Coturnix japonica: one gene and its partners. The main gene of each other region encodes a partner of the protein of the gene in region 2 in a complex. Links are inferred from orthologs where the notes say so. Each region holds a gene or a part of one and is shown on either strand. Other genes may lie near its edges.

Region 1 (3,539 bases), about 620 kb from region 2:
CTTAGAACAATATGACCACATCCATGATATCAGAGCTTGAACACTAAGCCAGCTGTTACAGTCTGAAAGATTAACACAGCAGAAAGGCGATATAGAAATGAAATAGCAAAAGGGACTAGCATGAAATGAGATAATGTTACAAAAGAAAAAGCACTCACCTGTCTCTGAAGATGTAGGCTCACAAGGGAGTGATCTCCGACCAGGGATCTTTCCCCCCCTGGCAGTCAGCCCTTAAACGGGGTCTAAGAGAGGTGCAGCCAGGCTCCACCTCTTCCAGTCTCACAGCTTCATTGCTTTCACCTGTGCTCCCCGGGCTGGCCAGGTCCTTTCCCAGGTGCTCAATCAGTGGTTCAGGCTGGGACTCAGCAGTTCCTATAAACCAGCAGATTGCTTCTTTCCTGGATTAGCACAGCACCTCTCTTTATAACAAGTTAGTTTCTCTTGTAGATCATCTTTTCTGGTAAGCTGAAGAATGTAACTACTGAAAGTGACTTTAGATCCTGGACATCAGAACTCATACACTTTCACATAATATCTAGGAGGCCTATTTGACAGAGTTTAAACTTCATAACCTTGTAGTTATTATTAGCAGGGTTGTTGGGTTTTTTTTTGTCTTTTCCATCATAATCTGAGAGTCATGCTTGCCTGATGTACATTAACTGTTGACTTCTTGTATGCTTTTTTGTGCAGATGATGACAGCAGCTCAAGCCAGTCTCTGGAAAACGATGAGACCAGGTAGAGTCTTGATTCCTCTTTGGTTTTGTTCTGTGTGTTCCAGCAGTGTCCAGAAAGAGAATAGTCATACTCATCTCAATGATGTGGCTCGTGTCTTGTTGCAGTAAGCACAGCCAGTGAGAGAGATTTTTGTATAGCTGATCTATGGTAACGCATTCCTTAACCAGAAGATGGATGTATAAGAACTATGCAGGATGATATTACTACAGCCTGCTTCTCTCTATTTCCTTTTGCAGTTACTACACACCAGAAGAAAAGGAAGACAAGAAAGGACAGGAGAAACAAGCCAGCACAGGGGTAAGCTTGTTATTTAGATGTATGTGGAGTATGGATGCATATTCAAAACACACTTCCAGTTTTATACATGAACAAGACTTTGTGTAATCCCCTAGCAAATTTGCTTGCTAGCTTGACTTCTTTTTGTCTAACTGAGACAGTGTGGAGATGAAAGCTCAGAGGAGGCCTCCTTTGAATTGCACCTGGCACCTGTTCAGACCAAAAAACCATCTGTCTATGATGTGGAAGAAAAGAAATTCCCAAGACCTAAAAAAAGAGAAATCTTTCCTCCGCTCACAGAGGTACCACAATTATCAGTCTGTTGTTCAAATTAGAAAGCTAGAATTAGAACATAGGTTAGTGTGCTCACAGGTTCTTTCCCATTCAATTGCTTGCTTCAGGCCATGGAGAGAGAGATCATGGCTGCGCTGGGCGAAGGTAAAGGGGAGGAGATCATGAGCAGCGCCTTCAGACTCAGTCTCACCCGTGATGACATCCATACACTGAATGAACTTTGCTGGCTAAATGATGAGGTAAAACTAGCTGTGGCACTGTGATGTTCCCATTGTGTATGTCTTTTTAAATGTCCTCAATGCATACAGGTCTGATTGCAGTTATTTGAGGTCTGCAGAACTTATAAACATCTGTCGAGTCTTATTTTAGGTACATAACGGCTGAGTGTTTCTAGAAGCTCCTGTATTTCTTGGGTTGGTCTAGAAGTTAGTCTTCTGGAAGCATTGCTTCTCTGGTTTTGTGCTTTTTGGTTTTTATTTTGGTGAGCAGTCTCTTACATCTCATGATTGCTTTTTACCATGCAGGTCGTTAACTTCTACATGAATCTTCTGGTGGAAAGAGGCAAAAAAGATGACTATCCAACCGTCTATGCTTTTAGTACTTTCTTCTATCCCAAACTTGATTCTGATGGCTACAGAGCAGTGAGAAGATGGACCAGAAACGTGAATCTGTTCAACCAGGACATCATTTTGATTCCTATTCACCTGAGATCACACTGGACCTTGGTGGTGAGTCATGCTTTTATTTCAATTGAAGAATTAAGCAGGTAGAAAGCAAGCAAGCAAGAAATGTCGGCCAGCTTTTGTTCTGTTTGCTGCATAGGCTTGTGGGGTGTCTCATGGTTACTTTCCATTAACAGGTTGTCGATGTCAGAAAGAAAACTATCACCTACTTTGACTCGTTTGGAAAAAAAGGAAACAAGATTTGTGAGACTGTACTGTAAGTAACTGCTCGCTCAGTGCTTTTGCACTGTGAGCTCAGAGAAGGCTTTTAGGTTTCTGTATCTGTAACACAACTGGAAGCCTTTGCTTTGTTTGTAGCTAGGGAATAGAAACCGTTCTCACATCACCTCCTCCATGTGTGATACATGTCTGGGTTTCCAGTATGTGCATGTGCAAAGCATCACCATGAAGTGTATGCAGACTTAAAGTTTGAATTGCTCCTCCAAATGCCTTATGGCACTAAATATCCACTGATGTTTTATTGTCCAGCCATTTGGCTTCCTGTGGTCTTTTCAGCATCTCTTTTTTGTCAGCCTAAAATACAGAGGTGAAGAGTTGTTTTATTTTGTTTTAAACAGCCAATACCTGCAAGAAGAAAGCTGGGAGAAACAAAAAGTCAAGCTGTCATCTTCAGAGTGGACTCTTCGCAGCATGGAGCCTCATGTATGTGAGCACTACCGGGATCTGAAATGTGAACCCCTAACTCCTCATTACAAAGGCCTTAATGCTTTCTTACTTAGTCTAAGCTTTAAAGGGGTGTGAAGGTGTGGTTCACTGGGTGTACTCCTTGTGTGTGGGGATGGGCTGTGCATGTTGGTTCCACAAGAAAATGTGGTGGTGGTGGTGGGTGGTGCTGCCTCCAAGTCGCTTTTCTTTTAAGATGGAAAAAATTCTCCACCTTCTTTCCATTCTTTAGGAAATTCCTCAGCAATCAAATGGAAGTGACTGCGGAGTTTTTATGTGCAAATACGCAGATTACGTCTCCAGAGACAAACCCTTCACCTTCACTCAGGTGAGCCAAAGTTAGAGTTTGCCTTAAGCTGTTGTTAATAGTCAAATAAACGTGGTTGTGTTTCATCCCTGCAGCACCAAAGCGGGGGTGAGACATAGCAGTCCACGCTGTACTCACAGTGGCCGCGGTGACGGTGCTTAAAATGAACTTGGTGTGAAAGAACACGGTATGTATTTTCTGTCAATTTCTGCTATCATATTTAATGGGTTTGTTCTCTTCTTCTTTTCAGGAAAACATGCCTTACTTCCGCAAGAGGATGGTGTGGGAAATAATCCACCAGCAGCTGCTGTGAGACGTGAAGCGTTACGAGTATCGCCGCAGATGACCTCGGAGCCACTAACTTATATTTTGTCATATTATTTATTTCTGCGATGCCTTATTGAACCAGGCCGCAGCCACTTGAAAATGTTCCTGTTTTAAGCTATAAAGTATTGTTTAACTGTTTTTTCCTCAATTTCGGAGACAGTGCCTCTCTTTGAAATGAGCTGATGTGCCTTGA
Region 2 (4,150 bases):
AGCTGTACATGGAGCTGTACACGGAGCTGTGTCACACCCTGTCGGTGCCCCCTCCCCAGCACAGCTCCATGCCGTTCCCTCGGGCCCTGTCGCTGTCACACCGAGCTGAGCTCAGCGCTGCCCATCTGCTCCCTATGAGCTGCAGCTGCCACGAGGCCTCCGCTCAGCTCCTGTGCTCTGGGCCGAGCCCCCCCACCCCCACCCCAAACACGCTCAGCCCCACACCCAGCCGTCCCCATAGTCCCCAGCCCCGCCCCGCTACTCACGTTTATACTCGGCCATCAGCCTCTTTAACGCCGTACCCGCCATAGCGCGGCCCGCAGCGCCCCGGCCCCGCGCCGCTTCCGGGCGGGCTGGAGGGGAGGAAGTAGATAGGGGGCGCGCTAGCACTCCGCCTCTATGGTAAAGGGGGGGGGGGGGGGGCTGAGTCCTCCCAGCGCATGCGCAGTAGCACCAGCGAGTTGTGGGCGGGCCCTCTCAGCCCAGCTGCTCTGCTCACCCCACCCCCCCCCTTCCATTCAGGACACTTCTCGTTTGTGCATTAAAAAAGTATATTTCAGACAACTTTATCAAATCATGACAAAGCACATGTCAATCTGCAATCTTCCAAACTGTCTATACGGAGCATTGCGTCTCGCACGTACAGACCTCGTGTCGTGGGCTTCACGTTTCCCAGCGACTTCAATCAGCGTCTTCTTCCTCCTCTTTTAAAACAATGAGACTCATTAAGCTTGAGATCGGCATGAAAATAGACTTATTTACAAGGGTAGGATGGAACAGAGGGGCAGGGCTGACAGCCAGGAATGCACTCCATGTCCTCAAACACGGACAGGGTTATTTAGGCCACAGGTTTGAAAGGGAATAAACCAGGAAACAGCAGACAGACAGACAACGTGTAGCACTGAATCGGAACTCAAAAATCAACTGGGCCCAATTAAAGATAAGAGATGAATCCCTGCAGATACTGTGTCGACTTGCACACGCAGTACGTCAAAGACAACAAGCGATTTTGGGTAAATGTCCTCTAAGGTTTCCGAGAATCCCGTGTGATCGGCGTGTTCATTTGTTCACTATTTGATAGCAAATCCAAGGACAGATGAGAGCGAGGTGCGATGAGGAGCCTCTGTGCTCCAAAGGATGCCATGTCTTAGCACAGCCCGCCCGTCTGCTGCTGGAACACATCGATAGTGTCTTCGTCTTCCATCTCCAGCTGTGAGGGTGATACGGAGAACACGAGTTCACAACCATAAACTTATAATAGAGTTACACAGGTTTTGAGATCTCTATTTCAAAGCAGACTCAGAACCCAGCCATCTAAAAGCAACCAACTCAGATGTGTTTCTTCTGTTCCTCACCTCAGGCCTCGTCAATGCAAGAAAACCCTTAAATTCTGAGCGCTGACTGAGCTGGCAGCAGCTACAGCACCCAGCTTTAGTCCTGGCTGTATCCAGACATGGGACAGAGCTGAAGAGCTCAGCACTCCCTCCAGGTCCTGCCCACAGCAGCACACAGGTGCCAGTGTGTTTGGCACCATCTGTTCATGCACATCTCCCACCCCAGCCAGCATAAAACACATATGGAAGAGACTGAAGAAGAAGCACAAAATGATCTGCACTAAAAGCACCTTTCATACCTGTGCAGGTGTGTCTGCTTCATTAATCGGCTGCCCGTCGAATCTGAATCTGATCTGCCTCATGGACAAACCCTGCCAATATACAGAGTGACACATGTGAGGAACCAAACCGAGACACGTCTGAATCCAAACAAAGCACTGACTGATTTAGTGCCGGGACGCATATTAACTAAATTAACATGTAATATAAGCAGATGGGGAACTTCATGCCTCTGTTGCTGTACAGGAGGGTGCAGAGCTGCCGGATGGATGCTGTGGCAGTGAGGGCGCACTCCATTCCATCGTAGATGTCATTGATAGAGATGTTAAAGAAAACCGGTCTCAGGACAGATCCCTGGGGGATGCCGCTCGTTACCGGCCTCCACCTGGACATAGAGCCATTGACCACCACCCTCTGTCTGCGGCCTTTCAACCAATTGCTTATCCATCTAGTTGTCCACCCATCAAATCCACCTCCCTCCAATTTGGAGATGAGGATGTGATGGGGGACCATGTTAAAGGCCTTGCTCAGGTCCAGGTAAGGTCAGGTGCAGGGATGGGGCAGAGCTTTAGGAGTGTGGAAGCAGAGGAAGGGCTCCACGTGCAGCAGCACACACACACAGCGCTGCCCGCACTCAGTGCTGGCTGTGGCCCCGTTGTACACACACCTGCCGCTCGCAGTAGGCCTTCATCAGCTTGCTGAGAGGCGTGTGCCGCTTGATCTTGAACTGCACGACGGAGCCGTCCTGCCCGGCCACCTTCAGGTTGATGTGGTCGTTCTCTGTCTTCACTCCTTCCTGAGGGGGGACAAACCGGACGAGAGCGGCGATCATCGCAGTGCCAGGCCCGACCCTCCCCCCCTTATCCCCCCATAGCTCATCCTACGGCCCGCCCCGTGCCCGCAGAGCCCCAGCCCTGCTCACCTTGGGCTTCTCCTCCGACATGGCGGAGGGTCGGGCCCGGGGTTGGGTTCGGTTCGGGCCCGTCCCGCGCTGCTCCCGCCGCCAACAACCACCGACCGCGAGAGCGCGCGCCGAGCCGCGCCCCCGCCACCCCGCGCCAGCAATCCCGCGTTCTGATTGGCCGCACGGCTGATCACGTGGGAAGGAGGAGGGTGAGCGACAGCGCGCGGCGCGGCGGCTCTAGAAAGTGCGTCACTGGATACGGCCCAGTACGGCTATAGCGCCCCCCAGCGGGCGGCCAGAGAACTGCACCGAGCGCAGCACCGGCTCCTGCCCTTCAGAATAAAGCGCTCACGTTGGGATAGTAATCAAATCGATTTAATACATCTTGACCACATCGCATCAGAACCCTACCGTATTGCAATCAGTAACAGGCACCGAGCCCAGGAGATGATCAATATAAGGCACAGAGGTAGAGGGGGCTGTGGAGGGTCCCTGGATTAGTTGCAAGTGAAGCGTGCATTTAGGGCCTGCCCCCAAAGGCCCAAGGCAGCGAGAAACTGGTGCTGGTGTGTGAGTGTATGCATAGAGCTGCAGGCAGACAGGGCACCCCTGAGCCACTGCTGCACACAGGGACATGAGCATCACAATGCACGCACCCAGCTTTGCATAAGGCAGAAGGAAGACACACTAGGCCACCTCAGCCAGGCACCGTGTTGTATTGTGCTGTGCTGCCACCCCCAGGTGAGTAAAGGAGGAGTGTGAAGCCCCAGTGTTATTGCCACCAAGTTTCCAGGCACAGAGTGAGGTTCCAGCCCGGCCAGGCACTGCAGCTGATCCTGGCACTGCAGCTGATCCTGGCACAGCCTCTGCAGCAAAAGCCCAGGGCAAGCTGAGAACTGGAGTGGGGAATGGGGGGAGTCACTGAGCAGGGCTTGTGGCAGCATGTGGCACCATAGGGGGCTCCTAGAAAGCAACCCAGAGTGAGGTGGGTCTAGAAGGAGGACGCCATTCACCAGGTGGGGCAGATCCAGAGAGGCTAGTTCTCAAATTTTGCATAAGGGTTCTCCTCCTTGAACAGGCCTGGAAGAAAAGAGAGACACTGAGAGTCACTCATTGCTCTGGGTGACAATTCTTTCACTAACCATCCTCTGCTCACCATCCTGCTCTAGAGACTATTGTACTATTGTCCTCATGGAAGGATGCGCCCACACCACCTCAACTCCTACCCCTCATGGGATATACATCAAGCTCTGTGTTCAGTCCTGGACCCTTCACTACAAGGAGGATGTGTGTCCAGCAGAGCTGAGGGGTCTGGGGCATAAAGTGTGATGGGGAGCAGCTGAGGGAACTGGGATGGTCACACTGAGGAACACAGTCTAGAGCTGCCACAGACATGGCTAAATGGTTGGAGTAGTTATCCCAGAGCTCTTTCTAATTTTAAACGATTCTACAACTCTAAAGCTTAGTGTAATTTGCTACTGCAAACGACTGTACCGTATTTTCTTCGGATTTCATCGTGCCGTGACTTCATCTCTGCTCTCCTGTAAGAAACAAACAGGAAAGAAACCACGAGTGACCAGCAGAACACAGCCAAGGAGGAGCTCCAGCTCCCAGCTCCCTCCCAGGGTGGAGG
Region 3 (3,539 bases), on a different chromosome or scaffold from region 2:
GGAAGAAGAAATTATGGCTCAAAGGAAGGCAGTAACCTTGATGACTTTGCTGTTCAACTTATCTCTCTTCCTCCTGACTCTTAAAGTGCGATATATTGATTGTAGTTATTCTTCCATTTGAAATCAGCAGGAACAGTGTTCGGTCCTTGTAGTTTTACACCAGTTTCTCTAGCTGATTCAGGTTGTTAGTACCAGTGCCAGCGAGGGAATGGTCTCAGGCAGGTTTAAGGAGCAGCTTGCTGATGTGTGCTCTGTTTGTATTGAAGTCTTCCTCCACCAACGTGTGTGTGTATGATAGGTGAGAAAGAAATAAATTGGCCTTGAATTCAAGAAAGCATACAAAGTGGAATGTGTGATGTCAGTTGTAAAATATGCAGTAGATTTATGAAGCAGTGATGCTGCAGAAGAGCTTGTATTTGCAAGTCGGTCTATGACACTGTTAAAGTAAGGGGAGAGGTTTCCCAACAGTGACAGTAACAGCAGGGTGCCCTTTGGAGTTGGAAGTGATTACATTTACAAGCTAAACTTCTTATCGTTCATTATGCACCAATTTTACTTCTCAGAAAACTGATGAAATGGTGTTTGGGCTTTTAATGATTTCTTTTTTCATTAGTATTCCTCCACAGCTTTCTGTAACTGTGTAAGATCTCGTTGCCATTTTGTAAAGGAAATTAGTTTTGTCTGAGAGTTAGAATATAGTAAGTCAAGCTGCTTGGGCAAGGCATCTCTGCCCAGCATAGCACACGTGGCAAATAAGTGGGATGGTGGGCATGCAGACAGTGGATAAGTTTATAAACTCATAGCCTAAAGCTGTTAAGTTTAGTATGTGACTTAATTTAAAGTTTTGAGTTCAGTATATGTGCTAGAAAATATGTATTTTGCATCAAGAAAGCACTCTTCTAATGTCATTACTGCAGTTAGTACGGGCTGCATTACTGTTGGTGTATTTTTCCCCCCCAAAAAATAAAATTAACTGAATTTTTCTTTAATTGTTGTATTCACTTCTTATTTTTCAGGAGTCTTTGAAAAATCCTTAGTGGTCATGACATTGTTACAAGTGAGATAAATTAGCCAGTGGCTCAGAGGGATGGATACCCAGAAGACTGCAAATGGTTTGCGAGTGATTGGACAAGGGACTGGTATAGGGAAATCGACACTCCACATGGTGGGGTATTTGGGAAAAGTCAGTTGAAACTTATTTTACATCTGTGCAAAGTTCATATTTTTTTAATTGGTCTTATTTTACAAAAAAAAAATTAAAATAAAAATTAAAAAAAACCAAACCTCAAAATTATTTTCCACGGAAATCTGTAACAATGGCGAAAGATTCTAAATAGATCTGTGTCTGAACTTTTTACTGGTGCTGTTTCTGTGACTGTGTATTTCTGCGTATATTACTTCTTATAGCAAGTATCTGAGCATGTGTACCTTGGCAATAAGGCTCCTTTGGTTTAGTGTAAGTAGAATGAAACGCTGCATAGTTGTATTGTCGAAGATACCTTACTACATATTTGAACGCTTAAATCAAAAGATAAATTTGTGTAGATTGTTCTGCACTATGACTATATATATATATATCTTATTTTACAAGGAGAAAACTTAGTCTGCTTTACTCTTTAATACTGTATTAGGTGTTACATGCTTAGAAGCTAGTCTTTGCTTTTCTATCTCTGTGTGTATATATGTCTTAACTTGGGACACTATACTAACAAATGTAAGTTTATGCAACTTTCTCCTTTTTTTAGGGGCATACTCCCGTGGAAAAAACTTCACCTGACTATTGTCCAGTCTGCAAAGAGAAGGGCCAGGTTCAAGTTTTACGGACTTACCGCATCAATTTTCAAGAGTCCATTTATCTCTGTGAAAACCCTCAGGTATTACTTCGTTAGCAGTTTTGTTTGCTGGTGTAGAGACCTTTGCCGTTAACTGTTAAACATCTTTAAGTTCAGGATTTGACTGGTAGTAAGCAGACTGTTGACAAAGGATGCTTTTGATTTTATATTCTGAATGGTGTTTGCTTGTAATATAGACAAAAACATAGCAAACCTCTATATGTGTGGCGGTTGGGCACAGCTGTTCCGAAGAGTTAAAAGAGCAGATTAAAAGGAATAAGGTAGAGTTTGTTTCACGCAACAAGGGGACATGAGTGATGCTAAATAAATCTTTGTATGAACCAGAATGCAAAGCCAAAATTGGCAAATGCAATTAACTAATGTTTTACTCATAGAGCTGTGAGTCTCTGATTTTCTCATGTTTAAGTAATACATATAGGTTTATAATAGTAATTACGGTATCTTTCAGCACTTATTCCATTTTAAGTTCAGCTTTAGCTAGATTTCTGGGCTTCTCAATATCTGAGTGGTGGTTTGCTGCTTCTCCCTTCTGCTGTGTGGGGAGGGAGGGTAAGCAAAATCATGTAGAATGGTGCCCTTAAATTAGTAGAATTAATGGACTAGATGTCTTCAAGCTGTGTCCTCCATCCCTCACCCTGCTTTTAAATAACCAAGCTGTTGGCTTGGGAAATGGGAAGTCGTGTGTTTGCCTTTATTTTCCCAGTTGCATATTTATATGACCCTACCAATTAGTGGTCTAAAGTAGCAGGCTAAGCTGAAAGAGACCCTGCCAGTTTTAATCCTAGTAATCTCTTGAGCAAGAGTTAGTAATATCAAATACGTGCCCTACTGGAATGGATTTTGCAGAGTGAGAGAACTCTGCAGTCCCAGTGTCTTACTGGGACTGGAAGTCACTACTCGTAGATACACTTCACAGTTAACTATAAGACAGTACTTGGATAAAAATGCTCAGTTTCTCTTGCATACATTGAATTTATGTACTCGTTTCAATGAAGTATCATTTCATGCAAGTCCTACATTCCATTTCAAGATATCATTTGTGGTTATTTTAGCTCCTGTTCACCTGAAATTGCTTTCTGTATTTCATTGTAACTTTTCTTTTTTCCTGTAGTGTATCTACCCGCTTGGCTACAAACCATTTAACAGCATAATCATTTCTGCTGATTCAGAAAATCTTCAAGTTCCATCTAATGACAAGAAAAGGAAATTGTGTGATACCAATGACCTTTCTCCCATCGAATCAAATCCAAAACAAGCAAGAACTAATAAAAAAGTTGAGCAGACTATTAATACAGACCCTGTTGTTAAAAACTGTGGTGATAGCTTGAGTATCCCTCAGTCAAGTGTATGTGACGTGTTAGAAAATGGCCAACAAAAATCTAATAGTGAGGAATCCATCAATCAGAAGGTGGATTTTAAAACAACCTCCAACACCAATGGTCATCAAGAGAGTCCGCCTAAGAACTTTAGCTCTGGAACACAACTCTTGCCCAACTCTACTCACAGCTCAACAACATCTGAAGTTTTGTTCAGAGACAAGAACTGTTCCACAAATAACACAGGTTTATGTCTTCAGTGGAGAAACAAGTGTAATCTTTGTTGGTTAGATTGTGTTTTGTCTGCACTGGTACACTTAGAAGCGTTAAAATTTGCTCTAGTAGAAGATGATGAAAAATGTTTACTCCA

Evidence for each region.
Region 1: the proteins of small ubiquitin-related modifier 3 (region 2) and SENP2 are in contact, whole or in part, in a crystal structure (PDB 2IO1), measured with the Homo sapiens proteins. The link is inferred for Coturnix japonica from reciprocal best matches to the Homo sapiens genes SUMO3 and SENP2. Residues at the interface, in NP_008867.2 of Homo sapiens: Arg55, Arg58, Arg60, Phe61, Asp62, Gly63, Pro65, Asn67, Asp70, Leu75, Asp81, Asp84, Phe86, Gln87, Gln88, Gln89, Thr90, Gly91, Gly92, Val93, Pro94, Glu95; in NP_067640.2 of Homo sapiens: Gln385, Asp386, Phe393, Lys394, Leu395, Arg396, Trp410, Leu411, Asn412, Asp413, Glu414, Ser439, Thr440, Phe441, Pro444, Lys445, Arg456, Trp457, Lys459, His474, Lys476, Val477, His478, Trp479, Met497, Gln499, Gln542, Asn544, Gly545, Ser546.
Region 3: the proteins of small ubiquitin-related modifier 3 (region 2) and USPL1 are in contact, whole or in part, in a crystal structure (PDB 7ZJU), measured with the Homo sapiens proteins. The link is inferred for Coturnix japonica from reciprocal best matches to the Homo sapiens genes SUMO3 and USPL1. Residues at the interface, in NP_008867.2 of Homo sapiens: Gln24, Asp25, Gly26, Ser27, Val28, Arg58, Arg60, Gly63, Gln64, Pro65, Ile66, Asn67, Asp70, Leu75, Phe86, Gln87, Gln89, Thr90, Gly91; in NP_005791.3 of Homo sapiens: Ala234, Cys236, Trp237, Pro321, Gln322, Leu323, Arg324, Met330, Glu331, Ser332, Val334, Phe335, Leu339, Tyr368, Thr378, Thr380, His393, Phe394, Gly395, Pro396, Asn398, Arg407, His421, Val423, Tyr451, Asn454, Asn455, His456, Phe457, His493.

The regions. Positions count from the first base shown.
Region 1 is NC_029524.1:3,359,063-3,362,601, reverse strand, and holds part of SENP2 (sentrin-specific protease 2), read left to right. Parts: intron 1-690; coding exon 691-736; intron 737-972; coding exon 973-1,033; intron 1,034-1,173; coding exon 1,174-1,314; intron 1,315-1,413; coding exon 1,414-1,545; intron 1,546-1,830; coding exon 1,831-2,034; intron 2,035-2,165; coding exon 2,166-2,245; intron 2,246-2,606; coding exon 2,607-2,691; intron 2,692-2,944; coding exon 2,945-3,040; intron 3,041-3,269; coding exon 3,270-3,332; 3' UTR 3,333-3,539. UniProt on the Homo sapiens protein: Protease that catalyzes two essential functions in the SUMO pathway.
Region 2 is NC_029524.1:3,983,914-3,988,063, reverse strand, and holds small ubiquitin-related modifier 3, read right to left. Parts: upstream 2,679-4,150; 5' UTR 2,557-2,678; coding exon 2,536-2,556; intron 2,410-2,535; coding exon 2,281-2,409; intron 1,706-2,280; coding exon 1,634-1,705; intron 1,211-1,633; coding exon 1,148-1,210; 3' UTR 534-1,147; downstream 1-533. Other genes in the region: UBE2G2 (ubiquitin-conjugating enzyme E2 G2), read right to left, coding at 267-309; PTTG1IP (pituitary tumor-transforming gene 1 protein-interacting protein), read right to left, coding at 3,554-3,597, 4,012-4,058. UniProt on the Homo sapiens protein: Ubiquitin-like protein which can be covalently attached to target lysines either as a monomer or as a lysine-linked polymer. Does not seem to be involved in protein degradation and may function as an antagonist of ubiquitin in the degradation process.
Region 3 is NC_029516.1:156,627,291-156,630,829, reverse strand, and holds part of USPL1 (SUMO-specific isopeptidase USPL1), read left to right. Parts: exon of another isoform or gene 1-1,016; 5' UTR 1,017-1,087; coding exon 1,088-1,183; intron 1,184-1,745; coding exon 1,746-1,874; intron 1,875-2,964; coding exon 2,965-3,539. UniProt on the Homo sapiens protein: SUMO-specific isopeptidase involved in protein desumoylation. Specifically binds SUMO proteins with a higher affinity for SUMO2 and SUMO3 which it cleaves more efficiently. Also able to process full-length SUMO proteins to their mature forms.